Linked DNA regions of Cricetulus griseus. The main gene of each other region encodes a partner of the protein of the gene in region 5 in a complex. Links are inferred from orthologs where the notes say so. Each region holds a gene or a part of one and is shown on either strand. Other genes may lie near its edges.

What was found.
Region 1: Sf3b5 (region 5) and Snip1 share a complex: the UniProt entries of both Homo sapiens proteins name them as parts of the minor spliceosome. The link is inferred for Cricetulus griseus from reciprocal best matches to the Homo sapiens genes SF3B5 and SNIP1.
Region 2: Sf3b5 (region 5) and Cwc22 share a complex: the UniProt entries of both Homo sapiens proteins name them as parts of the minor spliceosome. The link is inferred for Cricetulus griseus from reciprocal best matches to the Homo sapiens genes SF3B5 and CWC22.
Region 3: Sf3b5 (region 5) and Ddx46 share a complex: the UniProt entries of both Homo sapiens proteins name them as parts of the 17S U2 SnRNP complex. The link is inferred for Cricetulus griseus from reciprocal best matches to the Homo sapiens genes SF3B5 and DDX46.
Region 4: Sf3b5 (region 5) and Sf3a3 share a complex: the UniProt entries of both Homo sapiens proteins name them as parts of the 17S U2 SnRNP complex. The link is inferred for Cricetulus griseus from reciprocal best matches to the Homo sapiens genes SF3B5 and SF3A3.
Region 6: Sf3b5 (region 5) and Cwc27 share a complex: the UniProt entries of both Homo sapiens proteins name them as parts of the minor spliceosome. The link is inferred for Cricetulus griseus from reciprocal best matches to the Homo sapiens genes SF3B5 and CWC27.
Region 7: the proteins of Sf3b5 (region 5) and Phf5a are in contact, whole or in part, in a cryo-EM structure (PDB 7EVN), measured with the Homo sapiens proteins. The link is inferred for Cricetulus griseus from reciprocal best matches to the Homo sapiens genes SF3B5 and PHF5A. Residues at the interface, in NP_112577.1 of Homo sapiens: Arg4, Tyr5, Thr6, Ile7, Gln10, Leu14; in NP_116147.1 of Homo sapiens: Pro6, Asp7, Leu8, Ile9, Phe10, Cys11, Arg12, Ile88, Leu91.

The regions. Positions count from the first base shown.
Region 1 is NC_048595.1:27,987,065-27,991,278, reverse strand, and holds the start of Snip1 (smad nuclear-interacting protein 1), read left to right. Parts: upstream 1-1,414; 5' UTR 1,415-1,486; coding exon 1,487-1,698; intron 1,699-2,617; coding exon 2,618-2,720; intron 2,721-4,214. UniProt on the Homo sapiens protein: Required for pre-mRNA splicing as component of the spliceosome. As a component of the minor spliceosome, involved in the splicing of U12-type introns in pre-mRNAs. Down-regulates NF-kappa-B signaling by competing with RELA for CREBBP/EP300 binding.
Region 2 is NC_048599.1:97,153,846-97,157,345, reverse strand, and holds part of Cwc22 (pre-mRNA-splicing factor CWC22 homolog), read right to left. Parts: intron 2,891-3,500; coding exon 2,762-2,890; intron 1-2,761. UniProt on the Homo sapiens protein: Required for pre-mRNA splicing as component of the spliceosome. As a component of the minor spliceosome, involved in the splicing of U12-type introns in pre-mRNAs. Promotes exon-junction complex (EJC) assembly.
Region 3 is NC_048596.1:274,656,438-274,659,937, reverse strand, and holds part of Ddx46 (probable ATP-dependent RNA helicase DDX46), read right to left. Parts: intron 3,273-3,500; coding exon 3,128-3,272; intron 2,574-3,127; coding exon 2,500-2,573; intron 931-2,499; coding exon 883-930; 3' UTR 1-882. UniProt on the Homo sapiens protein: Component of the 17S U2 SnRNP complex of the spliceosome, a large ribonucleoprotein complex that removes introns from transcribed pre-mRNAs.
Region 4 is NC_048595.1:28,346,922-28,350,421, forward strand, and holds part of Sf3a3 (splicing factor 3A subunit 3), read right to left. Parts: intron 3,303-3,500; coding exon 3,211-3,302; intron 1,312-3,210; coding exon 1,229-1,311; intron 1-1,228. UniProt on the Homo sapiens protein: Component of the 17S U2 SnRNP complex of the spliceosome, a large ribonucleoprotein complex that removes introns from transcribed pre-mRNAs.
Region 5 is NC_048595.1:275,868,412-275,870,893, forward strand, and holds Sf3b5 (splicing factor 3B subunit 5), read right to left. Parts: upstream 1,195-2,482; 5' UTR 1,046-1,194; coding exon 785-1,045; 3' UTR 501-784; downstream 1-500. UniProt on the Homo sapiens protein: Component of the 17S U2 SnRNP complex of the spliceosome, a large ribonucleoprotein complex that removes introns from transcribed pre-mRNAs.
Region 6 is NC_048595.1:323,100,651-323,104,703, forward strand, and holds the start of Cwc27 (spliceosome-associated protein CWC27 homolog), read right to left. Parts: upstream 2,801-4,053; 5' UTR 2,433-2,800; coding exon 2,391-2,432; intron 1-2,390. Other genes in the region: protein SREK1IP1, read left to right, coding at 3,051-3,063. UniProt on the Homo sapiens protein: As part of the spliceosome, plays a role in pre-mRNA splicing. Probable inactive PPIase with no peptidyl-prolyl cis-trans isomerase activity. As a component of the minor spliceosome, involved in the splicing of U12-type introns in pre-mRNAs.
Region 7 is NC_048595.1:379,006,418-379,010,637, forward strand, and holds the start of Phf5a (PHD finger-like domain-containing protein 5A), read right to left. Parts: upstream 2,801-4,220; 5' UTR 2,711-2,800; coding exon 2,659-2,710; intron 2,085-2,658; coding exon 2,061-2,084; intron 1,535-2,060; coding exon 1,368-1,534; intron 1-1,367. Other genes in the region: Aco2 (aconitate hydratase, mitochondrial), read left to right, coding at 3,445-3,480.

The DNA.
Region 1 (4,214 bases), about 250 Mb from region 5:
CTCTGTATCGGCCCCTCCAGGTGGGGCCTTGTTTGCGGTCACCATGGAAACCCCTACTCGCCTTGCCCCATGGATGGGGCGGGGCTTCGTAGGGAGGCGGAGCCGGCCACGTGCAAGTTTTTTCTACTGAACTAGCTCCACACGCTCCAGGCTTTTTGGTAAACAAGATTGGAGACTTTGCGCTAGATCTAATAAGGGATGTGATGAGATGGGCAAACCACCTTTGCTCAGCCTTAAAACGCAAGTCATCTCCTGACTCCTTAGTTTGTTTAGCAACGATTGGCACTTAGAAGGCAGAGGCTGGTGGATCTGTGTGAGTTCCAGGACAGCCAAGATTACATAGACACTGTCTCAAGAAACAAAAAAGAATTTCCTATTGTTGAGTATTTGTCTGTGTTTTGTAACTATCAACAATCCGCCACGAACAGGTTTGGATTAACTTTCCAATTTTCTTTCTTTTATTTTAAAGATTTATTTATTTATTATGTATACAGTGTTCTGTCTGCATGCATCCCTGCAGGCCAGAAGAGGGCACCAGATCTCATCACAGATGGTTGTGAGCCACCATGTGGTTGCTGGAAATTGAACTCAGGACCCCAGGAAGAGCCATCTCTCCAGCCCAGACCCCAAGATTATTTATTTATTTATTTATTTATTTATTTATTTATTTATTATTTATTTAGGTTTTTCGAGACAGGGTTTCTCTGTGTAGCTTTGGAGCCTATCCTGGCACTGGCTCTGTAGACCAGGTTGGCCTCGAACTCACAGAGATCCGCCTGCCTCTGCCTCCCGAGTGCGCCACCAACGCCTGGCAAGATTTGTCTTTTTTAAGAGCCAGGCGAACACCTTTAATTCCAGGGCTTGGGAGGCAGAGGCAGGCGGATCTCGAGTTCGAGACCAGCCTGGTCTACAGAGTAAATTCTAGGACAGCCAACGTTACATATAGAAACCCTGTCTCGAGAAGCAAAAAAAAAAAAAAAAGGATTTTTTTCTTTTGGTGATTTGTGAGGTCTTAGGGACTGCCCCCAGCCCTTTGCACACGCGAGGCAAACGCTCACTTTACTGTTAAGATACATTCTCCAGGCTTTCCGCCCTTTTAACTTAATTTCTATTTGGCGGTGCTGCGGATGGAATCCAGGGCTTCGGGCTCGGCTAGGCAATCTCTACCTGACCGACTCACTAAATTGCCCAGGCTGGCCTCGAATTTACAGCGATTCTTCTGCCTCCGCCTCCCGAGGTCTGGCCTTGACTTTCCAGTCCTCCAGCCTCACTTCCCCAGGAGCCGGGATCCCGGGGTCACAAGCCCGGGCGTCCCCAGCGTAGGAACCTTAGCATCTGCGGCCACGCCCACCTAGGGGACCCCCCGCCGTGAGGGCTTCTGGGATAGCGCGCTGCCCGGAAGCGGAAGTACAAAGGTCGGGCCGTCACTTCCTTCGGCTCGAGTGGCTCAACGGACCGTGCAAGTGGCTCTCGGCCGGGCCGCAGGATGAAGGCCGGGAAGAGCGAGCGGGAGCGAAGCGGCCGGCGGCGACACCGGGCCGACGACGCACTGGCGACCGTGGTGGTGAAGCAGGAGCGTCTGAGCCCCGAACCTATCGCGCACCGGCGGCCCGACGCCCCAGCCGCTAGCCCGTCCCCGCCCGCCGCCGAGCCGGGCCGCGCTAGCCACCGTGGGAGTCGAGCCCGGGGAGTGAGCCGGTGAGAGGGCCGCGGCCGGGATGGCGCGGGGCCCGGGCGGTGCGAGCGACTCGGGGTGTAGAGCACCTGTTGAGTTGAAATGAGATTCCCCCCGCCTCCCACGGGGGACGGTGGGAATGTCTTTCCACTTGCCTGCCGCCAAAGTGTTGTTTCACGTTGGGTCCTGGCGACTTCTTCGCAGCACTCATTCGCCGATGCCCCCCGTACGGCATCGATTTACTGAGTGCACAGTGTGGGCTAACGATCAATTGAGGTACTGGGCCACAGGGTGAAGAAGAGAGATGGTTTGGCCCCGGCGAAATTGGGCGTGCTCCAACCCTAAAGAAGGAAAATAACAAATAGATTCAATTAGTGCTGAGGATATAGTCAAACAGTAACGTGGCCGGGCCGTGGTGGCGCACGCCTTTAACCCCGGCACTAGCGCTGGGTCAGGACAGAGAAAAATGTATGCGAAGAACCTGAAGTGGAATTGGGCTTGTTTTAAAAGTTGAAGCAAAACAGGCAGTGTGTCTGGAATTGAGCGATGAAGGAGCAGCATTGTAGGAATGAGGTGGGGTGGAGGAAAGGGTGGGTCCCTGGGACTTGCCAAGGGATTGGATGTGGTTGTTGGAGAAGGGAGTGTGTTAGGAAAAACAAAAAACAAAACAAAACCAAAAACCAGGCAAGATTGACTCCCTGGATAGTGATGCCAATCAGTAGGATGACAGACTGGGAAAAGAGCTTTGGGGTTCAAGTATTAGGGTATCTAAGTGAGCAGGCAGTTGTGTATGTGAGCCTGGGAGAAGTGGCTAGGGAAGTGAGGACCTGACTCCATTAGTGATTTCACAAATGTGTTATGTTTAGTAGCCTGATACTTGAAGCTAATTTATTTGGGGGCAGGGACATTGAGGTAAAATCCTGTGTACCATGCTCTGATAAGGTCCCCAGCCAAAAAGAAAAACAAGTCCTCAGGGAGAAGAAGCAAGTCTCCTCGGACTAAGAGAAGCCGGAGCCCCCACTACTCCACCGTCAAAGTGAAGCAGGTGAGTGAGTGGGCAGGAGCCTTTGCTAGGACCCACGTTCAAATCCAGAGCTGTTGCTGGACCTAAAGGTGGCCTGCACCGGCGTGTCTCCGTCTTTCCTTGTCCTGGCTGTGGGCTTTTCTAAAGACTAGATATATGTTTGTGTTGTTTTATGTGAAACTTCAAATTTGGAGGAAGTTATTGATTTAATTCTGATAACTCTTTGCCAGAAATAGTGCAGAGAGATGTACCTTTCCTTGTTTCTCCCAATGGCAACTTGTCACACAACCGTGGGCAGTATCACAGTCAGGATACAGACATCTCACTGCCAGTGGGAGGCCTCCAGCTGTTCTCTAGAGCCCTGTTCCTTTCCACCTTTATCTTTATCTTTATTTTTGTCTATCATTCCGCCAATCCCATGCTGTCTCAAGTACCACACTAAGTGATAAGTCTTGAAACCTGAGTGCCCCAATCCCTTTTACTTTAGTATTTTCAAAATTGTCTTAGCTGTTCTAGTTCCTTTGTCTGCATCTCTGTAAATGTTAGAACAGTCTTGAATGTGTGTGATTAAAAATAAAGTTTTTTTTTGGTGCATCTCCCCCCCCCCCATGTGTATGTGTTTTGCCTGCCTGCATGTATGTGTGTGCACTGTGTATATGTCTGATACCCACAGATCCCAGAAGAGGGTAGCAGATTCCCTAGAACTTGAGTTAAGGATCGCTGTCAGATACCACATGGGTGCTGAGTTATCTTCCAGATTTTCTAGTGTCTTGCTCCAAGCCAGTGTGGCGGTGTGTACATGTATCCCTACACTGAGGCAGGGGGATCACAAGTTCAAGGCTGGTTTATAAGTTTAGTGAGAGACACTGTCTCAAAAAGTAAAAAGGGAGGCCGGGCGTTGGTGGCGCACGCCTTTAATCCCAGCACTCGGGAGGCAGAGGCAGGCGGATCTCTGTGAGTTCGAGGCCAGCTTGGTCTCTAGAGCGAGTGCCAGGACAGGCTCCAAAGCTACACAGAGAAACCCTGTCTCGAAAAGGCTGGGGCTAAAGTTTAGAAGTAGAGCGCTTGCCTAGCCTGTTTCCTGAATTCTAGTCCCATTACCATTCCATATGTATTTATAGTAAATGGACTATTATTATTACTCAGCCTTAAAATGAAGAAAATTCTGATGAGTTACAAGATGTCTGAACCATGATGGCTTGCTTACTAAACGGGGGGGGGGGGGGCGGGGGGGGCGGAGCGCAGCAGGCGCGGCGGCGACAGGACACAAAAATTGCATGATCCCACATCTTTGTAGTTGAGACAGTTGACCTCCTGTCAGTTAGGTCCAGATTGGCTTGAAACTTGCTTAGTAGGTATTATAGGCAGGCCTAGAACTCTTTGGTTTTTTTGAGACAGGCTTTCTCTGTGTAGCTCTAACTGTCCTGGATCTTGTTCTGTAGACCAGGCTGGCCTTGAACTCAAAAGAGATTCACCTGCCTCTGCCTCCCAAGTGCTGGGATTAAAGCCAAGAGC
Region 2 (3,500 bases), on a different chromosome or scaffold from region 5:
ATGGCTGGCTGATATCCACAGGATGCCGGCCCTTTCCTGAAGAAAAATAGAAGAAGAGGAGAAAGGGGCTGGGAGGAGAGGAGGGAGGGGAAGTGTTAGTTGGGATGTAAAAAGAAAAACAAAAACAAACAACAATGAAGTGCTTTTATGCCAGGCTTGGTGACACACGCCTTTAATCCCAGCACTCAGGAGGCAGAGGCTGGCGGATCTTATGAGTTTGAGACCAGCCTGGTCTACCAACCTAGTTACAGGACAGTCAGGGCCACAAAGAGAAATCTTGCCTGGGGGGAGGGATGCTTTTATGAAAACAAAATTGTGCTTTTTTGTAAAATAAAACCAGAATAAGTTTTTTCAAAAATTGTTCTCTAAATAAAATTCTTTTCCTATTCACACTTCCTCTAATCATGACTGTAAGAATGGGGGAAAACATCACAATACATTGTAGGAGAAACTTTTCAATAAACCAAACCCCCAAAACAGCGGAGTAAAAACAAACTTGCTTGATGAGTGTAAAATTTAGACAACATAACGTTTCTACCAGGGTCCATCATCTGTATGAAACAATTCTGTGATGGGACACAGATTTGAGCTGTTTCCTTCTGTTGGTGTAATTTTAGAGGAACAAAAGTAAGGATACTGAGTGCTGATGAAGTGACAATATAGAGATAGGAAACTCACCTTGAGACAGTCTTTTTTTTTTTTTTGGTAAGGAAAAGAGAGATGGACAGCAAGCTAATTTACATTATTCTGAGAAATACTGTGACAGTTACTGGACTGCTAGAATCTAGGGTGGGAAATGACTTAATACTTAGCAGTGTAGACAGGACAGCTGAACCACTGAGGAGGAAAAGAAGTGAACCCAGATTATACATAAGACATAAGCAACAGAGGTCCCTTCTCTATGCCTGCTTGTTTTCCAGGTAAAATGAACAGAGCTCTGCCACCTCCATGGACAGTAGCAGGCTTTTGGCCAACCTTCTGCTCCCCAACCACATGCTCTACTTAGTTTAGTCCTGTTTTTAATGATAATAATCAGTGTAATATAAAATCACAAGAAGACAGCATTTGGATGTAAAAACAACAGACAGATATGAGATATTTATTTCCATTTCTTTATTCTTTAAAAAAAATCACCAATTGCTTGAATCCAAATAGAAAATTGATTCATTTTTCTTCAAATTTATTGTTTATCTTTCCCACTCATCTATCATCCTCATTTTGGTTTAAGTAGAATGTGAACTGGAAATAAAGGAAATAATGACAAAATCTCAACAGTGACAGGCCAAAAACCCTTCCTTTGGGATCAGGAACAGGCTACGCTTGTCACACTACCTGAATTCAGTGTAATACCCAACAAAACTCTAGAGGCATTTTTCAGGGGAAAGAAGTTCCTTAAAAATTAATATACACTATAAAAGAATCCAAGTGACCAAGCAATCTTCAGCAAAAAGAAAAAAGCAGGAGGCAGCATATTACCCAATTAAAAACCTACTATTGTTACACAAAGTTAATAGTAACCAAAACAGCATGGTACTGGCATAAAACTTTATAGAAACCAACAGAGAACAGAACAGAGTACCTAGGGACAAATTCATACATTTGTATCTGATTGTTTTTAACTAAAGCATCAAAGCATGCAATATAAAGGTAGTCTGTTCAAGAGTAGTGGTAGGAAAACTACACATCAACATGCAGAAGAATAAAAGCATAACTTAGTCTTATACCACACAACACAGCAACCTAAAATTGATTAACACATAGGAAAACAATCTGTAGAACTACTGGGGGGAGCGCCATGATATTTGTCTGGACTGATACATTAAAACATAACTCCAAAACCACAGGAGGTCCAAGAAAACTTGATATATGAGACCTCATTAATCTAAATGGCTTCTGGACAGTGAAAAGAAACCAAATACGGAAAGAGAAGTATCTGCAAGCCAAGTCTGATAAGGAACTAAAATCCAAAATATACAAGGAAATCAGATAAGCCAACAGTAATAAACCATATAACCCGTTTTGAAAATTGACAAAACATCTAAATAGACATTTCTCAAGATAACACATAGGTAATACCATGTAGCACCACCTATCATCAGATGAACAGAGAGAGTAAAACCCATGATAGATCATCTCATCCCTGGTACAATGAATGTCATAAAAATGACAAAGGCTGCAGAGAATAGGGAACACTTGTGGACTGTGAGTAGGCATGCACAGTAATGCAGAAGGTAGGGAAACACCAAGCCAGGGAGCTACACACCACATCCCTACAGCATTATCCACAAGAGCCAGATGGAGCTCCTGTCACTGACTAGTAACAAAGACAATTCATATACACACAATAGAATAACGTTCAACTCTAAGGAACAAATTCTGACCCTTGTGGCAACACAGGATGAACACACCAAAGCATCACACTGTTAATAACAGATTTATAAGATTTCATGGCAACTTAAACAATTAGTCTGAAATAGCATATTTTAGTAATTAATAGATTTAAATTATTAGAGAAATTTAGTAAATTCCTGTGCAAAACTATGCTGTGATATCAAATCTCAAAAAGCACTGACTATAAACTTTGAACAACATGATATAAGTTATTTAATAGCCTACATTGTAAAAGAACTGCATTTTGAATAAACGTTCACAAATACCTTTGAAATGAAGTAGTATAACAAACCAATGCTTACCGTTGAGAGATATTAAGTTTCTTTGAAAACTTACTATGAGATACACAAGGCAAATGACCAGTACTTACCTCCCTCTGACTATGTTTTCTTGAAGGAGCTCTTGGATAATGATACTTATATTGGAGATGTTGACCTTGTTAATGAGACCATTGATTGATTTCTTCAGGGCCTCCCAGCTCATCCTCTGATAGGCTAAGCTAAAAATTACCAAAAAAGGCAAAGTCACAAGGGACCTTGGAGCTGAGACACCGTCATAACATTTGAAAGACCTCCTGTTTATGCAGCTATCCTGCTGAAAGCTACATGGCCTCACTGTTTTTAACTTACTCTTGGGCATTTAAGCCTCACTTGCTTTTTACATTAAACTTGATAATGCTCAGTCTTTTAAGGCTCTAAAAATCTATGGTTTTTATAATTATTTCTTTTGGAATTTAATGTTGGATGGAGGAAAACATAACCTTTTTTCCCATATACTTCTTTTGAAGTCTAGTGAAAACAGTACACTTCCTAAAATGCATAAACACAAAAAGATAGATCAGACACTGAGACAGTCCTCAAAACACGAAAAGAAGCAGCTTGATACAGAGTGCTCTGAGTGTCTTCAGACATGAAATAACAAGAAGTGGTAGGAGGCCAAGTATTGATTTTAATTTCAAGTCGAATGGCCATAAACAGTATCTCACAGTAACAAATGGATTGGAAGTATACACTATAGTTATACTTCTAATAGAAAGAGATGCTAAAATTTAGTTGGGGATTAATAAAAATTAAATGCATTTCCCCAGTCCAGATTTGTGACCGGACTAC
Region 3 (3,500 bases), on a different chromosome or scaffold from region 5:
CCTGAAGGAAAATTAGATGAAAAGTAACAAGGTGTTTGTATATACCACATATCTATCATATATATATATATGTCTAAAGAAACACGTTGGAGGGAAAGGAATCGTATTTAGTGTGTATTGGCCACAATCACTTTATCTAAAAGCAGGAAAGAATGGAATTAGCATTTAGGCAGAGTCAGAGGCTGATCAGGAACCTGAAATAGTAACACTAATGCAGTAGAAAGAAGTGGTGATCCCAAACACTACAAAGGTAAATGCAGGAGGACTACAAGTTCAATGCCAGCCTGAGCTACACAGGGACTCTCTCTAAAGGAGCAAGAAAAAAGAAGTGCAAAAATCCCATTATGCTACTTATGTTTAATTTTACAAAACCAAAGGCAAACCAACTACTACTCATTTTTGATGATAAAATTAAATTCTGAACCTATTTTATAAACATCTATTAAAACATTCCTGGATCCAGTTCTTATGTTCCATTCAGTCAAATAAGATTTAAGCTTAAGAGGGGGCAACAAAACATGACATGGACTTTTACCCTTTCGTTGGAGACGATTACATCACAATTTCAATGAAAGAGGAGAGGCCAGTGGCCCTTAGTGACTGACACACTTTACTACCACATTCAACACAGAGTCCTTGTTTCCAGACATTTAAGAGTATTGGTATCTAAGGTTTACATTGGGAACATCACATTCTGAAATCAGGTCTGATGGAGATGGAGTTTGGATCAGTGTGGGGCAGTACTTACTGACAACTGACTTCTGTAACAAACACTGGTTTCTTGTTTTTAAAAAATAAGCAAGACAAAATTTTCAAAGTCTTACTTTACAATACATTGTGAACTTCACAGACCAGCACAGGGACAAAGTGCCTCCAAGATGTTTATAATACTTTGTATCGTCCTTTATTTGTTGGTTGGTATGAATTTTGCTATGATAGAAAATAAAAGACAGAAGGTTAGAAAGAACACACACACACACAAATGAATATTTGAGATCATTTTCTTTTAACAATTTATAAACTATCAGATAACCAAAATAAAAAGGCTGTGTGGAGGCAAAAGGAAGGTCTCAATAAAGAACTCATTTTTTTCTGTTCACTGTGCACCCCACCCCTTCCCCAATAACTCTGTAGTCTCCAAACATGAAATTCTTTTTCTATTACTCTTAGAAGAAACAATCTCAATAATATAGCACACTGCTATATTATTAGTATATTTTTGAGATAAGGTCAAATTCAATAGCCCAGGCTAGCCTTGAATTTATGACGTCCTTTTGCTCAGCTTCCCAAGTGATAGGATTACAGGTATGAGTCACCATACTTGGATTGTTTATATATTCTCTCAGATGTGGGTTCGATTCCTGGCACCCACATGGCAGCTCACAAGTATCTGTAGCTCCAGCTCCAGAAGATCCTACACCCTCACACAGGTATACATGTAGGCAAAACATCAATGCACATCAAATAAAAATAAAAGTATTTCCCCCCCTCAAATTGGGTACTTGCATTTAATCCCAGCACTCAGGAGGCAGAGCAGAGGCAGGTGGATCTCAGTGAGTTTGAGGCCAGCCTGGTCTACATAGCGAGTCCAGGACAGCCAGGATTACACAAAGAAACCCTGCATCCATAAGCTAAGTAAATAAATAAATAAGATAAACATTCCCCATAAAAGAATTCTATGTGTTATAAATGGAAATTCAGAAAAGCCCCACCCCCCACCCCTTTATCCTTAGATAGCCAACCAGACTTCCTTCCAAAGCAACTGCTGCATACTGGTATTAAGGATCAATAATGTATCTGTGGCCCCTTAGGAAGGTTATCTTTAGCAGGCTATTCTTTTTTCAAAATTAACTCGCTGCCTAAACTTTAAATACCGACCACACTATGGGTTGGACAAGACACAGAACAGCTGGCATTTTCAAATGCTCCAATGAGTGAAAATGGGTAAATGCTTTTGTAAAACAATGTGGTAACACCCACTAAAAAGATAAACTGTATAGAATTTATAACTAGAATCCTATTCCAAACTATAAATTCAATGAAGAGATGCATTAATATATAGAAAAAGTCAAGGAAAAAGATTCATAGAAATATCATTCATAAAAGCCCAAAGCAGAATTCCTTCAGCCCAAAGCTGTTGTGTTTTCAACAATGACATAACATACAGGCATGAAACAGCACGCACTGTTGCTACCTGCAACAACAGCCTGGCCTCCTCAATATAATGCTGAGACACAAACAGACTAAACAGCATACAATCACACTACACAGAGGTGAAAACGCCTAACACTCATCCTCAAATCTACAGTCACAATCCGTCTCTATCTGAAGGTGATATGGTGACATGGAAGTCAGAGGACATGCTTCTAGATGGAGAAACGGTCTGTATTTCTTCATTTAGATAGTGACTACTCTAAAAACTCGCCAAGATACATTTATGTGTTGGGACGGGGTCCAAGTCTGTCACTGAAATAAGCAAGGCGTGAGGGTTTCACTTACCAGTCGGATCAGTTCTTCTTTTATGAGCCTGGTGATTTCTGCCTTGGCTTTCTGCACAGCCAGTTCGTTGGCACCTGATGATTGAGTAGAAAACATACGGTTCATACTATTGAACTCCTCTGGCTGTAAGGAGGTCCAGGACACAACACCTCAAGTCATGTTAGGGAGTATACTGCCTGCCAAGACAGTGAACTAGTACAGCAGGTTTACTTTCTAACTTGAACACTGATAAAAATACTTGACACAATACAAGTGTGTGGGTCCTGTGCCCCCTGGGACAGCACATGCACTACAACATGAAAGGTGCAGACAATGAGCACGGTCCCTACACAAGGATGACACAAAAAAGCATAAGTGTTCAAACCTTAAAAAAGAAAAGAAAAATGTACGCCCTTAAAACCCGGACTTTCTCTAGAGCAATTTTCACCCTTAAATCCCACAAGTAGATCCTTCCACTTTATATTTATGTGGGTACTGGACTTCTAAGACCTCAAGCAATACATGGTCTTCTATTTCTTAGAGGTGTTCCTATTTTCAGTCTTTCCTACTCTCAACTTCACACTGACCCGCATTACATCTACACAACATTGATCTAATTCATGCTTCACACAGAAGCAACAGTACGCACTTTCAATCGCCAAGTAAATCTTCCGCTCCCCTTCTTTGGGCTCTTTGCCAGGAGGGAAGTAGGTTCCTCTGATTGTGATCGCGGCTTCAGAGTATTCGCTGATTCTCTGCAGGGCTTCCTTAGAGGTGACTTTCCACCTTGCCGTCTACAAGACAAGTTGGGGGAATTAAATCACACCATAGAAATCTGAGTTGTGGGCAGCTGAGAGGACTCGGTGAATAAAGCCCAGGCTGGCCACCTGAGTTCAAACCCCGGAAACTCCTGCAAATTGTCCTGACTGACACACAGCCATGCTGACACCTGTGCCCCACCACCCCCCAATATAGAAAACCACACAATTAGTCTAAGATTCTGGGTTGTAAAGGAACAGATT
Region 4 (3,500 bases), about 250 Mb from region 5:
GACATACTGCTATGCCCTGCAAACTATACTTCATTTCTTTCTTTTTCTTTTCTTTTTTAAAGACAGGTTTCTTTGTGTAGCTCTGACTTTGCTGGAACTCAACCAGGCTGGCCTGGAACTCAGAGATCTGCCTGCCTCTGCCTCCCAAGTGCTGGGATTAAAGGCGTGTGCCACCACCACCTGGTTCACCACTAAATTTTTAAAATGAGCGTAATTTTTTTTTTTTCACATCATGACCTTTCCTACCTCCTTTTATCCTCGAGAAGTAATGTCAATTACTAGGTCTTAATTAACTCACAGATAAAAAAAAAAGGTCAAGTAAACAGAATATGAGAAAGAGCAAGCTTAGGAACACTAAGGAAAAGTGTGATAAATTCATTATTACTTTCCACTTAATACCAGATCCAAGCACGTAGCCAGTCCTGGAAACTTTCCCTGTTAAACTCCAAAAACTTCAGAGGTCCCCAAACAGACTTTTTTCTATATTCCACAAAATTAAGGAAGGTATGGGTAAGACCACAGACGTTCCCATAGATACTATGGTAGTCTGAATGTAACTGCTTCCATAAGCTCATAGGCAGTGGCATTATTAGATGTGGCTTTGTTGGAATAGGTGTGGCCTGGGAGGAACTGTGTCACTGTGGGGGTGGTCTTTAAGGTTTCAAATATGCTCAAGACAAACTCAGTGTTTCAGTTACCTTCCTGTTGCCTCTGGATCAATATGTAGGACTCCCAGCTACTTCTCCAGCACAATGTCTGACTGCACATCACCATGTCCCATCATGATAATGGACTGACTCTCTGAACTTTAAGCCACCCAATTAAATGTTTTCCCTTATAAGAATTCCCATGGTCATGGTGTCTCTTTACAGCAATAGAAACCCTAACCAACAAAGATACCTTTGTCCACAACCAAAAATACAGATTTTTATTTTATTTCTTGAGACAGGGTCTCACTATACATCCCTGGTTGGCTTGGACTATGACTAGGCTGGCCTCAAATTCAGTGATCCACCTGCCTCTGCCTCTTAAGAGTGCTGGGACTAATGGCACACACCATTATATCAGCATCACAAATATTTTTAAACTAACACTCACTTATCTTCTGATAAATCCAGAAGTCATTTATGTAGAACATTCATGCAACAAAAGCCAGAACTCTGACTTCAAAACTTCCCATGAAATTCTAGCTAAATCCAGAAAAGGCCAGCAAACTGTTAATGCCTACCTCTTATACTCTGCATTCTTTCTTTCTTTAGGAATGTCAAATAACTGGTCAAAGATGGACAAGTAAGTGATGTAATCCAGCTTCTGAAAAGAGAAGAGAAATAACAAAAGACAAGTCAATTACTATTCAAAAAGTAAGGTCAAGTGCTGGAAAGATGGCTCAGTGGATACAGGTGCTTGCTGCCAAGTGTAAAGACCTGAGTTCTTGGAAGCAGAGGACTAACTCCCTCTAGTTACCCTTAGACCTCTATACTTGAAGGGCACTGCACACATATACCAAATAAATAAATTTTGTTTTAAAAAGCAAGGCCAAATTGACTGTTCTCTAACCAAGTATCAAGGCTTGGCTTTTCTTTCCTGTCTTTCAATCCCTAAGGCTGTTGATTCCACTTAAGTGAGCAGAAGATTGCTGGAAATGAAACTAACCCTACAAGATCAAGTTAACAAACCCAAATCCAAACAAGTCACATGTTGGATTTTTAGGGTGGGCCAGGCTCCTGTCTAAGGATTTTGCCATTCTCAAATAAGGTCCTGAAAGGTTACCTATGTTAATTCATGAAGCCACTTCCTGAAGATCTTTGAACCAAACATGGGGGTGCAAAAAAGAACAAGACATCTTGTCTGCAGAGTTTACAGGTTAGTAGCTGAACTTGGGGACATTTCCCCATAAAGACAAGGTCTCACAGAGATCCTTCTGCCTCTGACTCCTGAGTGCTGGAGTTACAGGTGTGCCACCATGCCCCATCTATGAACTTACTATTAAACTTCCATGTGACCAATTTGCCATTTTAAACCTCATCACTGAACAAACAACAAATAAACACCTGCCCCGCAAAAAGACATGAACTATTCCTTTTCTGACAGAGATCGTGTTATGTTTCTCACATGCCTCATACTGTGCATCTAACACAAGAACATTCAGAGTATTTATGGGTTTAAAAACTTGCCAGGCAGTGATAGCACATGCCTTTAATCCCAGTATATGGGAGGCAGAGGCAGGGGGGTCTCTGTGAGTTCAAGGCCAGCCTGGTCTACAGAGCTAGCCCCAGGACAGCAAGAGTTACACAGAGCAACCCTTTCTCAGAAAACGAACAAAAAAGTTATTTATCTTTGGGCAGGGGGTTAGTTCAATGAGTCAAGTGCTTATAGCATAAACATGAGACCCTAACAACAGATCCCCAAACCCCATGTAAAAGCTGGACATGGTGGTACACACCCAGACTCCTAGTGCCAGGAAGGCAGAGACAAAGATCCTTGGGGCTCACAAGCCAGCCAGAATAGCTCAAAAGGTGAGCTCCATGTTTAGTGAAAGATCTTGTCTCAAGAACTAAAGTGGCAGGACCAGAGAGACAGCTCAGCAATTAAGACTACTTATTGTTCTGGAAAAGGACCCAGATTCAATTCCCAGCACTCACAGAGTGGCTCACAACCATGTGCAATGAAACTCCAGCTCTAGGGGATATAGCTCCCTTTTCTGGCTTCTAAGGGTACTAAGCACACACATGATGAATACATGCAGGCAAAACACTCATAAAATAGAAATACATAAAAAAAAAACCCTCTATTAAAAAAATACAGCGGAAGCCTGGTAGTGGTGGGACATGTCTTTAATCCTAACACTTGGGAGGCAGAGAGCAACAGGACAGGCTCCAAAGCTACACAGAGAAACCGTATCTCGAAAAACAAAAAGAAAAAACAAACAAACAAAACAAGTGTGGTAAGCAACTGATGTTGGCCTCTGGCTTCTATGTGCACACTCCCCTCAGATTTCAACTGCATGAACACATTAAAATAATGAAAATTATTAAAGAAAATAATGGGCTTGCTGTGTTAACTGTAGGCAGGTGCCATTTTATTATAAATATTGTTTATTATTCCAAGAAATGGGATCACCTACTTAATATCAACACACATTACATGTGGCACACTCCATGTACTTTAACTAGGTATCTTGATTTCATCCCTCCCCTCTTCAGGCCTTACCTCAGACGCCTTCAGGTTAATGTACTTAAGGTAGCAGTCATGAAGATCAAGGTAACGACCATAACCCTCTTCATCTGTGAACTCCACCAGGTCTGTAGGAATCACACATGTCAATGATTCTGATATTACAGACCACTTTCCTGAACTTGCTCTATCACTACCTGTTCGACGATCCATGAAGTAGCCCTTCACTCCTATGTTCTCCTTACTCTCATTAAATTAACACATCTAGGCTTTCATTTTGAGCTTAGATAGCACAAAATAAGTATTTTGTGCAAGATCATCAGGAT
Region 5 (2,482 bases):
AGAAATCCTTCAGCCTCTGCCTCCTGGGTGCTGGGATTAGAGGTGTGTGCCACTCCCAGCGACTCATTGCTTTTTTGGTGTTCCTTCAGTAACTTAAAACACACCAACGAATGCCCTATTAGATGGTAAGCAACTTCCCATGCTCTGCACGGTTTTTCTCTGGATTCCGTAAAATCTTTTCTCAAATGTCATCATCGCAATATCTTAGCATTACAAGCATAGTATTTAAAATTGCGAATTCTTCAAGCTTCCTCAATCTCCCTGCATCATCTAGCCCTGGTCTATTTTAGCCTTTCTCCAAATTGGCATAATGTATGCCCCCAAACCTTTGGAAAACGCTCTGGTGAACACTGAATGAAAAAAAAAAATCCGTTCTTCATTTCTGAAGACACACAGACTAACTCTCAAGAAAAACAGATGCAACGTGCAACATCTTGAGACCTTGGTCCACAGCACCCTCCCCAGACCCCACCCAAGGAACACAGCAATCCACACCAAAAGATAGGACAAATCCTAAACTTTATAAACATGGCAAGAAGGACAACCAACTACTGAAAGGCAGACTCATTAGAAACGCGTCATCACTCCCGTGGCGTCTTCTCCCTCGCTTGCCGGGTCTAGGGTCGCTCCTCCCGCACAGTTCCCGGGGGTCCCGACAGTCTCTCGGTGACTTGTTCGGAATCGTCCACAGGTAAGCAGGCCAGGCGTGACAGACGATGAAGAAGCCCGAGCAAGGAGGACCGGCCCACCGCTGGCCGGCGGGGGAGCCTGGGAAGCGCTCGCCTCAGTTCTCCTCGGGCTTGTCCGCCGGCGGCCCGCTGGGCTGCAGCATCTTCTCCATCAGGTTGAAGCGCACGCGGGCCTTGCTCTCGTTCTCGGCGATGGCGAAGTAGTTGAGGAGGTCGAAGTGACCCATGTAGGAGCAGTAGGAGTCCCGGTGCTGGTTCACAAGCCATTCCCACTTGGTGGTGTCGGCGTGGCCCGTACCGATGTACTTGGACTGCAGATGCTCCAGCTGGCTGTGGATGGTGTACCGGTCCGTCATCTCGCCGCTCCGCTCTAGGCTTCCAGATCAGGCCGCAGACCCGACGCTACCCGCTCCGCGTTCAAACCTGAGAGACGCCGCCGCCGCCGCTGCCGGCCCGACACGGAACTTCTATCTGTGTAGGCGCGGGAGAAAGACGCCACTGTGGCGCCTGCGCAGACGCTCTTCTCCCAGGCGGAAGCGGAAGTGAATCCTGCCGCGGCATTGGAGTTGCCTAAGAAACATTGGGCCGTCCCCTCAGCGAGCCCGCCTACTTGGAGAGCGTTGCATGATGGTCTGCTGAGTGGCTCTTGGGTGATCACGTTCTAACTCCGGCGTTGCATTCTGGGATTTGTAGTCCAAAGAATTTGGCGTGTTTTTTTCTTTTGGTTTGGTTTTTTGTTTTCTTTTTCTTTCTCTCTCTCTCTCTCTTTCTTTCTTTCTTTCTTTCTTTCTTTCTTTCTTTCTTTCTTTCTTTCTTTCTTTCTTTCTTTCTTTCTTTCTTTCTTTCTTTCTTTCTTTCTTTCTTTCTCCTCCCTCCCTCCCTCCTTTCCTTCCTTCCTTCCTTCCTTTTTTTTCTTCTTTTTTTTTTTTGCCTGACTAATGTAGGATGGTGTCCAACGATTACGACTACAAGTGACCAGGAAAACTATCTCTTGTACCTAGAAGCTCACACGGACCGCCCTTGGTCCCAGCTTTGTCCCTTAGGATCTGGGTAGTGGGAAAAGTTCTTTGGGTCCTAAATGCTTGGTGATGAGTGTCAACACCAGGTGTCTTCCACATCAAAATCCAGGCTCCAACTCCTCACACCACCCAGGGGCCCGAGCCCTCCAACCAAACAACCTCCTAACTTTAAGGCTGCTTACAATCATTTTCTGGAAGTCAGTTGTGTCTCAAGACAAGTACTCTCTCCTTCTGTTTTTCTGCCTGGTTACACCTTATGTTCAACTTAGAGGTTATGTATCTCCTCACAAAGGTATAAACTACTTGAGAAAAAGATACTGTACTTCTTTTCTGATATCCTTTGAGGATATTATATAGCTTGATGGAGATCGTATTCTTTAAAAGAAAAATCTGATGAATGGACAAAGAGCAATCTCAGTCAAAGAGACTGATAATAGGGGAGGGCCCAACCTATTACAGTGGGGACACCCCTGGGCTGGTAGTCCTGAATTGAATAAGAAAACAGACTGAGAAAGCCACGAAGAGTAAGCCATTAAGCAGCACCCCTCCATGGCCTCTGCATTGGCTCCTGCCTTCAGGTTCCTGCCCTGCCTACCTTAGATGATGAACTGTGATACGGAAGAGTAAATGAAATAAATCTTTCATCCCTGAGTTGCTTTTAATTATAGTGTTCTGTCACAGCAAGAGAAACTTCAACTAAGACAAGTAGAATCTGCATGAAAATTCTGTTAGTAAGAAATAAATCAAAAATTAGTGCAATTCCAGTGCCATTAA
Region 6 (4,053 bases), about 47 Mb from region 5:
ACTGACCCTATTTCCAAAGCATTTCACTACCACAGAATGAAAGGAAACCTTGACCATTTTCAGTCCCTCTCTACTCCCCTACCCTCATCCCTTGGCAATCACAAATTTTTTTCAGTTTATATAGACATTGCAAATAAAACATTTAATATAAAGAGAATCATACAAAATGGGCCTTCTCATGTACAATTTCTTTCACCAAATATACTTTGAAATTAAAGAAGTCTGTCTTCCTGTTCTCTGTATTTAGGCTTAAAATGTTTTTAAAAGCTCAGTAGATCATAAACAATGGTGTTATAATCTTAGAGACAAATATTTCAGGACAGAACAAATATTTAATACAAAGTTCATTTGTAACAATAATAAATGGAAATATGTATTCCCAACAATCTCCATAACTTTTAATTATTTGACAGACTTCCTATGCTTCCTATGCTTAAATGCTAACATAGTTTTCTTATATTTGTACATTGTATTTATTTTGTTCCAGACGGGGTCTCACTGGGACTTTGTGGACCAGACTGGCCTTGAACACACAGAGCTCTGCCTTCTGAGTGCTGATATTAAAGGCATGTACTACCACACCTGGCAAGTTTTTACATTTTTTTTATTTATTGTTTTCAAGACAGGTTTCTTTGTGTAGCCCTGGCTGTCACTGAACTCAGAGAATATCCTGCCTCTGCCTCCCAAATGCTAGATTAAAGATGTGTGCCACTACACCAGGCTAAATTTTTAATTATTAATCTTATCTTTAAAATGAAGTTTTTGGCCGGGCGGTGGTGGCACACGCCTTTAATCCCAGCATTCGGGAGGCAGAGGCAGGCGGATCTCTGTGAGTTCCAGACCAGCCTGGTCTACAAGAACTAGTTCCCGGACAGCCTCCAAAGCCACAGAGAAACCCTGTCTCAAAAAAACCAAAAAATAAAATAAAATTAATAATAATAATAATAATAATATGAAGTTTTTAAAGGTTGGCTTAGTTAATGTAGCCACCATATATCCATATCATTAAATAATTACTCTATACAAAAACTGACTGACAAGTACCTGGACTTGTGTGTGTGTGTGTGTGTGTGTGTGTGTGTGTGTGTGTTTAATATGGGTTCTGGGAATACACACACACACACACACACACACACACACACACACAAATATATAATTAAACAAATAAAGAGAAGATAATGCAAATAGACACGTATTTTCTCCCAGTGTCTCAGGAATAGTGGTCCAAGCCCTAAAATATGCCCTCATTAGTACCATCTCTGAGAACAAAGTACCACAAATTACCCTTCCCTCCACATGCTCTTTTGTCAAGGTGTTCAACTTCAAAGTTGAGTTTTCCACCTACTAGCTTGGACTGCCTGGACATATCCACCAGTTCTCACCCAACTAACTTCCTTCTATAAAAACAGGCATATTAGCCCCATAGATTTGATGTGAGGATGAAATGAGCTGTTATTCATATAATACTAAGCTGCACACAAATCAAGAAACACTACCACACATATATATCGCTGCTGAGAACTTACTTCTAGAAAAAAAATGTGTGGTTTGGACACATTGCACACCTTAAAACTTTCCACTGATAAGCTACTAAATTAATAATGTCTTTTTCCTCCTTCAGCCATGATGGCATTCAGAAGTAAGCTGGTGTCATACATCAACTTCTTCCTATGTGATACCATGCTTACTGAATAAGGGAAATGTGCCCCATTGACTCTGAATCCAACTACACCCCTATGGTGCCTAATGGGACATTAGGCAGTAGAGACTCTAAAAAGTTATAGACTATGCTTTATGTTCTCCTCCAGCCTGTTTCTATTCGGAAGAAAAACAGTATTCATCATAATTTGTAACTGTATTTTTATTTACACAATTATTTTATCAAATCACAGTTCCTTTAACTGATTCAACAATAAAAGGGGTGATGATGGATTTTCTTCCAGTGCATCCTTAAGACCTAACATAAAACCTTGCATGTATTTTGCAGGAGAAAAAAATGTTGAGCCGAGGAAATAAATGATTGTAGAGAAAGGCATGGTCTCCAAGTTAAATAACAACCAATTTAACAATCTTAGCACAAATCTTTAAAAAAAAACAAAACAAAACAAAACAAAAAACAGACACTAGAAGGCGCCCACATGAATTGGATCAAGGAAGTTAAGGGGCCAGCAGACTAGGGAATAGAGAAGTTGCTCAAAAGGATTCTTTCAAAAATACACTGAGACGTGTCAACGTAAATAATGTTGATGCAACACTGTCCAAGAGCAGTGTGTGGACGACAGTTCTTTTGGTCTTTCCAACTCTAAGAACCCGACACCTGTCCCTCCGTCCCCGCCCTAAATCAGGGAGCTCTCAATTGGGGTGTCCAGGTGTGGTGGAGCGGTTCTCACCTTCCCATTCGTGGGCGGCTCCTGGATGTAGATGTTACTCATCTTGGTCAGTGGTCAGAACTCCGCTCCTTAGTGTGGTCGCGAGTGAATGGCGGATCTCCGAAGGTGTCCGCCTGTTAGCAGACAATTCTTTAACTTAGATACTTGGGGAAAACTTGACTCGTTCAGAGTTGGGCAAGACAGCCGTACTAAACACTAGTTAGTCCCCAAACTAGCCACTCATGGACGCCGCCATGTTGCTCTCGGACCTTAGCACCGCTAACTCCGGAGGGGGGAAACTCGGTGTCCTTCGGGTAACTAGAAAATATTATAAGACTTCTGCAACTTTAGAGAATTGGTCATGTTAACTGTCATAATAGTTAAAGGACCAATCCGTAAATCCCAGTGCTGCGTCCACGTCAGGTATTCGCAGATGGCACTCACCTCCCGAAGCTGGCCAGAATGGTTCCGACCATGTGTGCTCCGCGATAGGACTCCCCTGGAAACTGCATCCGCAGCGCCTGAGTTCCGCGAACTCTGGAAGCGCATCCGGCCTTCCCCTACCGTGTGCTATAGTTGCGGGGACCGGGGTGGGAGATATCTCTCTGATAGTGCGTTGTCCTCTCAGCGGACCTGAACCTAACGCGATCTCGAAAGCCCAGGACTCCGCTCACCTGCATCATGGCAGTCCCAGGTGAAGATCAACCACAGGGTCCCTTTACAGAGGAATGGGGCGAGCAGTGGAGTCCAGGGAGCGGGGCGGCGGGGAGTCCTCCGGCATTCAGGCGAAGGCCTGAAAATGTGCAGTTGGTTTACATGAAAAAGTTTACACTACAAGTCCAAAGGGAGGGGGGAAAGAGTGAGAGATCATCGTTGTTCCTCCTAGGCAAGCCCGAACTGCATAGGATTACATGGAAAGTGTATTGAAGGAGGGAGAGACGACTTGGGAGCAATGAACTGTAGGCCTAAGAGGACAAGTTACCCAGAACACTGACAGAAACTTTCACCAGGCTTCAAAATAAAATTCGAAATATGAATATCTGACGAGCCCAGGTAGCCATACACATTGTACTGAAAGACACTTAAGTCCAGAAGCACACCTGGGGTTTGTTTAGCTCTTCCTGTCTGTAGTTACAGTGTAGCTAGCTGTAGGCCGGTTGCTGTGCCCTCCTGGGCCTCGGTTTCCCTATGTGTAAAAGAGGGAGCTTTGGTGAATTATATATAAGATTCTTACTAGGTTTCAATTTTGTCTTCAGAGGTTTCTATCCTAGAAACGGCAAACTGTGCTCTGGGAATGTTTATGTCTGCTACTCCAGTTTCCTGGCAAAAACTTCCCCAAGTTGTCTTTGTCAAGATGTTTCTCTACAGAGCCCTATTAGCACGGTGATATTAAAAGATATGCCCTGCCTCGACTCTTAGAGATTCACAATGCACAGTACTGTAGGAAAGACCCTGAGATGTTTCTAAAGCCCCGATTTTGCTTGAAACTGCCCTTCCTGCTACTGTTTGATCTTTTCCTTTGTTCTGTGGCAGCCTTTTCTGAACCTTTTTTTCTAGAGATAGCTGCAGGGGAGGGTGAGAAGGGAGGGAGGCGGTAGCTGCTTTCCTAACTTGGGCAGTTTACAAAGGAGCACATTTGGAGCCGGGGGAAGAGAGGTGGCTGTACACTCTTTATTGTGTTGTA
Region 7 (4,220 bases), about 100 Mb from region 5:
ATAATTCTCAGGGAGCAGAATGAGGGGCAGGGATCCAAAGGTATCAGATCACAGGGCGCATGCAGACAAGTGAGATGGCAATTACTGTTTAGCAAGCATCCTCTGGTTCCAAGCTTAAGTCAGAAACAGACTCTAGACATTTCTGAAAGCTCAAGAAAGTGTTGTCTCTTCAGGGACCCTTTAGCTTGAGAACTGTGTGTCCCTCCTCTTTCCATTACACCCAGTACTTCCCAGTTCCTAAATAACAAATGCCCAGGGTGGGGAGTGTCTCCCAGGAACACTTTATAGGCACAGTACCAAAAAGAGAGCACCATCCTTGTATTACAGATTAGGCACTATTACCAAGACCCGAGAAAAAGGAAAGATGGAGGACATAATCCACAGCTGTGGAAGACAGAATACAATCGAGTTCTGGTTGTCTAAAGAATTGGAAAGAGCATTTAGGGCAGGAGAATGTTCAAACCACCAACTGAAATTATGATTTCATACTTAATCAACAACATTCCCCTTTTCCCAAACAATAGTGGATTCAACAGAGTAAACAATACTTTTCAGCTGCTCTAAAACTCCATTCTGGGCCAAGCACCAATCTGGTTCTCTAAGAAGGACAGGGAAAAACAGTAAGCACATAAAAGTATTAGTGGGCCAAAATACTCACTAGTGTGTGTGTGTGTGTGTGGGACCAACTCCAGGCAAGCTGTCCTCTTAATACCACATGCACCCACACAAATAGATGTAACAAAGAAATTCAACCAAACCAAACACAACCAAACTCTGCAGCACTGAGAACAGTGAGGATATACCCAACAGGAATCATTTGTATGTCCTGTGGCATAAACTGCATGCAGGCAGTAAGAAAAGCCTGGAGCTCATCCATGGAGAAAAAGCTCTCAGTTGGGAACTCTAGCTAATGCCTAAATGTGGCTTCCCCAATCAATATCTGCTGGATGTGGTAAGACCCGATTTGAGATTTGATGATAAAGTCAATCAAAACTGAAAATGCAGCTATCATAGATCACCTTCCGCACCACGTAGAACAACCCCCCTCCCTCCTTAAAGCCCTATCTGGCTTCGGGTACTGGTGGTAGGTAGCATCCACATGTGGAGTGCTGAGGAGGCTGGGTGCTCTCTTCATCATGAGCACACACCAAGAAGGTCTTAGAGAAGCATAACATGATGTAATGTGGACACCAGATTTAGTCAGATAGCCTGGGACAGAGTATAAAAGGAGGATGATAATAACCTCTACCTACATGACTAGCTGAACATTGCAGTCTCCATAGACCAGAAGAGATGGACATGGATGGCAAAATGGTCCAAAGAAAAAGGAAGAAAGGCCAGGAGGGAATGCTCAAGTCTACACTCACATCCTTCTCCTGAATGGTGCATTCTTTACAATAGTAGGCATCGGAGACTCCGGGGCCTCCACAGATCACACACCGGCCCTGGTAAGATCCATAGTTACACTCATCACATATGCGAACCAGGGTGCAGGGTCGCACATAGGAGTCACAAATCACACATTTGCCATCACCTGCAAAGGAAGAGGAATGGAGTTATATTCACTAGTGATTACTTCCTAAAGATCTTTATTCTATGGGTGAAATAACCAGTCTCCCTTTGACTGTGACTTCAGGCCTTTTCTCTATCTTGACAGCATCCACCCTATCTTATATCTACCATCTACCTCAGTTTCCTTCAAAATATAAATGGGAAGAGTTTTGACGTGTTAGCTAGGAGCTTTTAAGTCTATGTAGTTATCATCAACAAATTGCATGCCTTCTTGCACAAACATTGGCCTGGGAAGGTTCACACTACTCTGATAGTTCTTACTGTCCAAAAGTATTTTTCCCCCACAACCTAAGTATGAAATATTAAAGTATGCAAGCTAAAGTGGGAGTCTGGTGGGGAGCCTTTGGTTGTAGTCAGAGATTCAGTGTTCTTTGCAGTCTGGCATATCCACTCAATGCTTCTTTAGGGCTCCTCTGGAATAAATGGCTTGTTGGCTCGTCAAAAAACAAAGAAAGAAGGCAATGTGTGAGAGGGTATGTTCCACTCACATTTTTCACACAGTCTTCCGATAGCTGCAAGAAAAAACACAGTTAAAATCAAAATGGTGATTTAGCAAGGAAGTTGTTCCTCAAAGCTGGGATAGAGGATGGGGCAGGTAGCAATGACTACAGTGAGCAGAATAGCTGTCTTATTATCCTTTTTTTTCCCCTCTCCACGCCCCTCCTCCCAACAGATTCCCGTTTTATAGCCTGGAACTTCTTATGTAGTTCAGGTCGGCCTCGAACCCCCAGCAATCTTCTGCCTTCAGCCTCCCAGGCGCTGGGATTACAGTCGTGAACTACCACGCCCGGCCTAAGCCCCTAAGTTTTGCTTTGCACCAGCGCCCTGTCCGGAATCCTCAAAGCAACCTGGGACGGCTTCTCCAGACCTAGCGCAGACGCTGCCCCCAGTTTCAGGCTCCCAGACGCGCGATCCTGCCTTCTTATCACAAGTCACAAACCTGGGCGCACCCCCAGAATACCCAGGGACCGCAAGGCGCGAAACGTGGAGCCCCCAAGGCCAGGCCCTAAAGAGGAAGCGAACCCCCCACTCTCCCGTTTCTAACACCATCCCACTCCAACGGAAGGGAGCGGCGAGCCAACTCACCAACACCAGCCTGCTTGCGGCAGAAAATCAAATCTGGATGGTGTTTAGCCATCACTCGTCCCCAAGCCGGCGGCCGGAAGCTTAGAGAACTTCCGCTCGACCTTTAACCTACGCCGTTCCTACACCCACTTCTCCATCGTGATTGGCCGTCAAGGTGCCCATCAGCTTTTGCCCTTCGTTGCACCAAATCTCGCTAGTTCTCGCGAGTTTTCTCAGCGTGAACTTGCTGGACCCCTAGCAGGTGCATCAAAGACTTTATAATAAAGTTTTTGTTCCCTCCCGATTTGAACGAATAAACTAAGTGTTTTTGTCTTGGATAAAATTCCTACATATGGCTGGTTGGTGGTAGCACACGCCTTTAGTCCCAGCACTCGGGAGGCGGATCTCTGAGTTCGAGGCCAGCCAGACCTGTCTCGCAAAAAACTTTTGTACACATGGTACTTTTTGTGCTCGGGGCTGAGGCCAGGGCCTCACGCATGCTTCCGCAAAATATGTGGTCTGGGGGTTCCCTTTTGAGTCTCAAGGCGTGAAGGATGACCTTGAACTCCTGGCTCCGCTGCCGTCTCCGTCCCCAAGTGCAAAGACTGACAAGCTGGCAGTTTCTTTCTCGCGCTGTGCCCGTCATGGAAGCCCCGCCCACTGCGCTCTCTGGACTCCGGCTCCGAGGAGGAAGGCCCCACCCTCACCGTGACGCGCCGCTTTGGAGGCCACGCCCCTTCCCAAGCACTTCAAAAGCGCCCTGTGGCACGTCACTTTCACGCGACCTCATCTTTGTCAGTGCACAAAATGGCGCCTTACAGCCTCCTGGTGACCCGGCTGCAGGTGAGCGAGCTCCGATGTGTGGGTTCACGGGGGCGGGGAGCTCTGCCTGCGGCGGTAGGCGAGGCCACGCGAGGCGGGCTCAACCTGGGGCTGACTTTTGCGAACCTGTCCCGGTTGCAGGCCCAGCGTCCTTGTCCGCTCCTGCCTTGTCCTAGGTCAAGGTGTCCCTGGCACAGTCAGTTCCCAGGCCCAGTCCCCGTCCCCGCCCAGCGGGAAGCTTGAGTCTAAGCATCCGCAGTGTGATAAAGGATGAGGGCACCCCTCATTTCCTGAGGGCCGAATTGCCCGCTCCCCCCAGTGTGGTTTTCTGTTCTCAAGGTGATGACAAGGTTACTGGGGGGCGCGGTGGTTGTGGGTTCCTCTAAGCCAGGTGCTTGAAGCCCTCACTTCCCATTAACAGCAGAGATTTGCCAGCCGTTTGTATGTGTGGTTCTCGGGCCTGGAGTCTGCAGAAGCTATACCCAATACTACCTTTTGAGGACACCTGGGGTCATAGATGCAAGAAGGGTAGAGTATTCTGAGCACCAGTATAGTCCATAGTCATGATAACAGTGGTTCCTCTCTGCACCAGATGTCAAGACTGTTCACTAATATAACCTGATTTACATATTTCTGGCAACATAGATGTCAGATGATTTTTTTCCAACTCAATAGATAGTAAAACTGCAAAAAAGTAGATGAAAGTTCTGACTTTCACGGTGTCACGATAGTGCTATAGCTTGAGCAGTGACCCTGCTGAC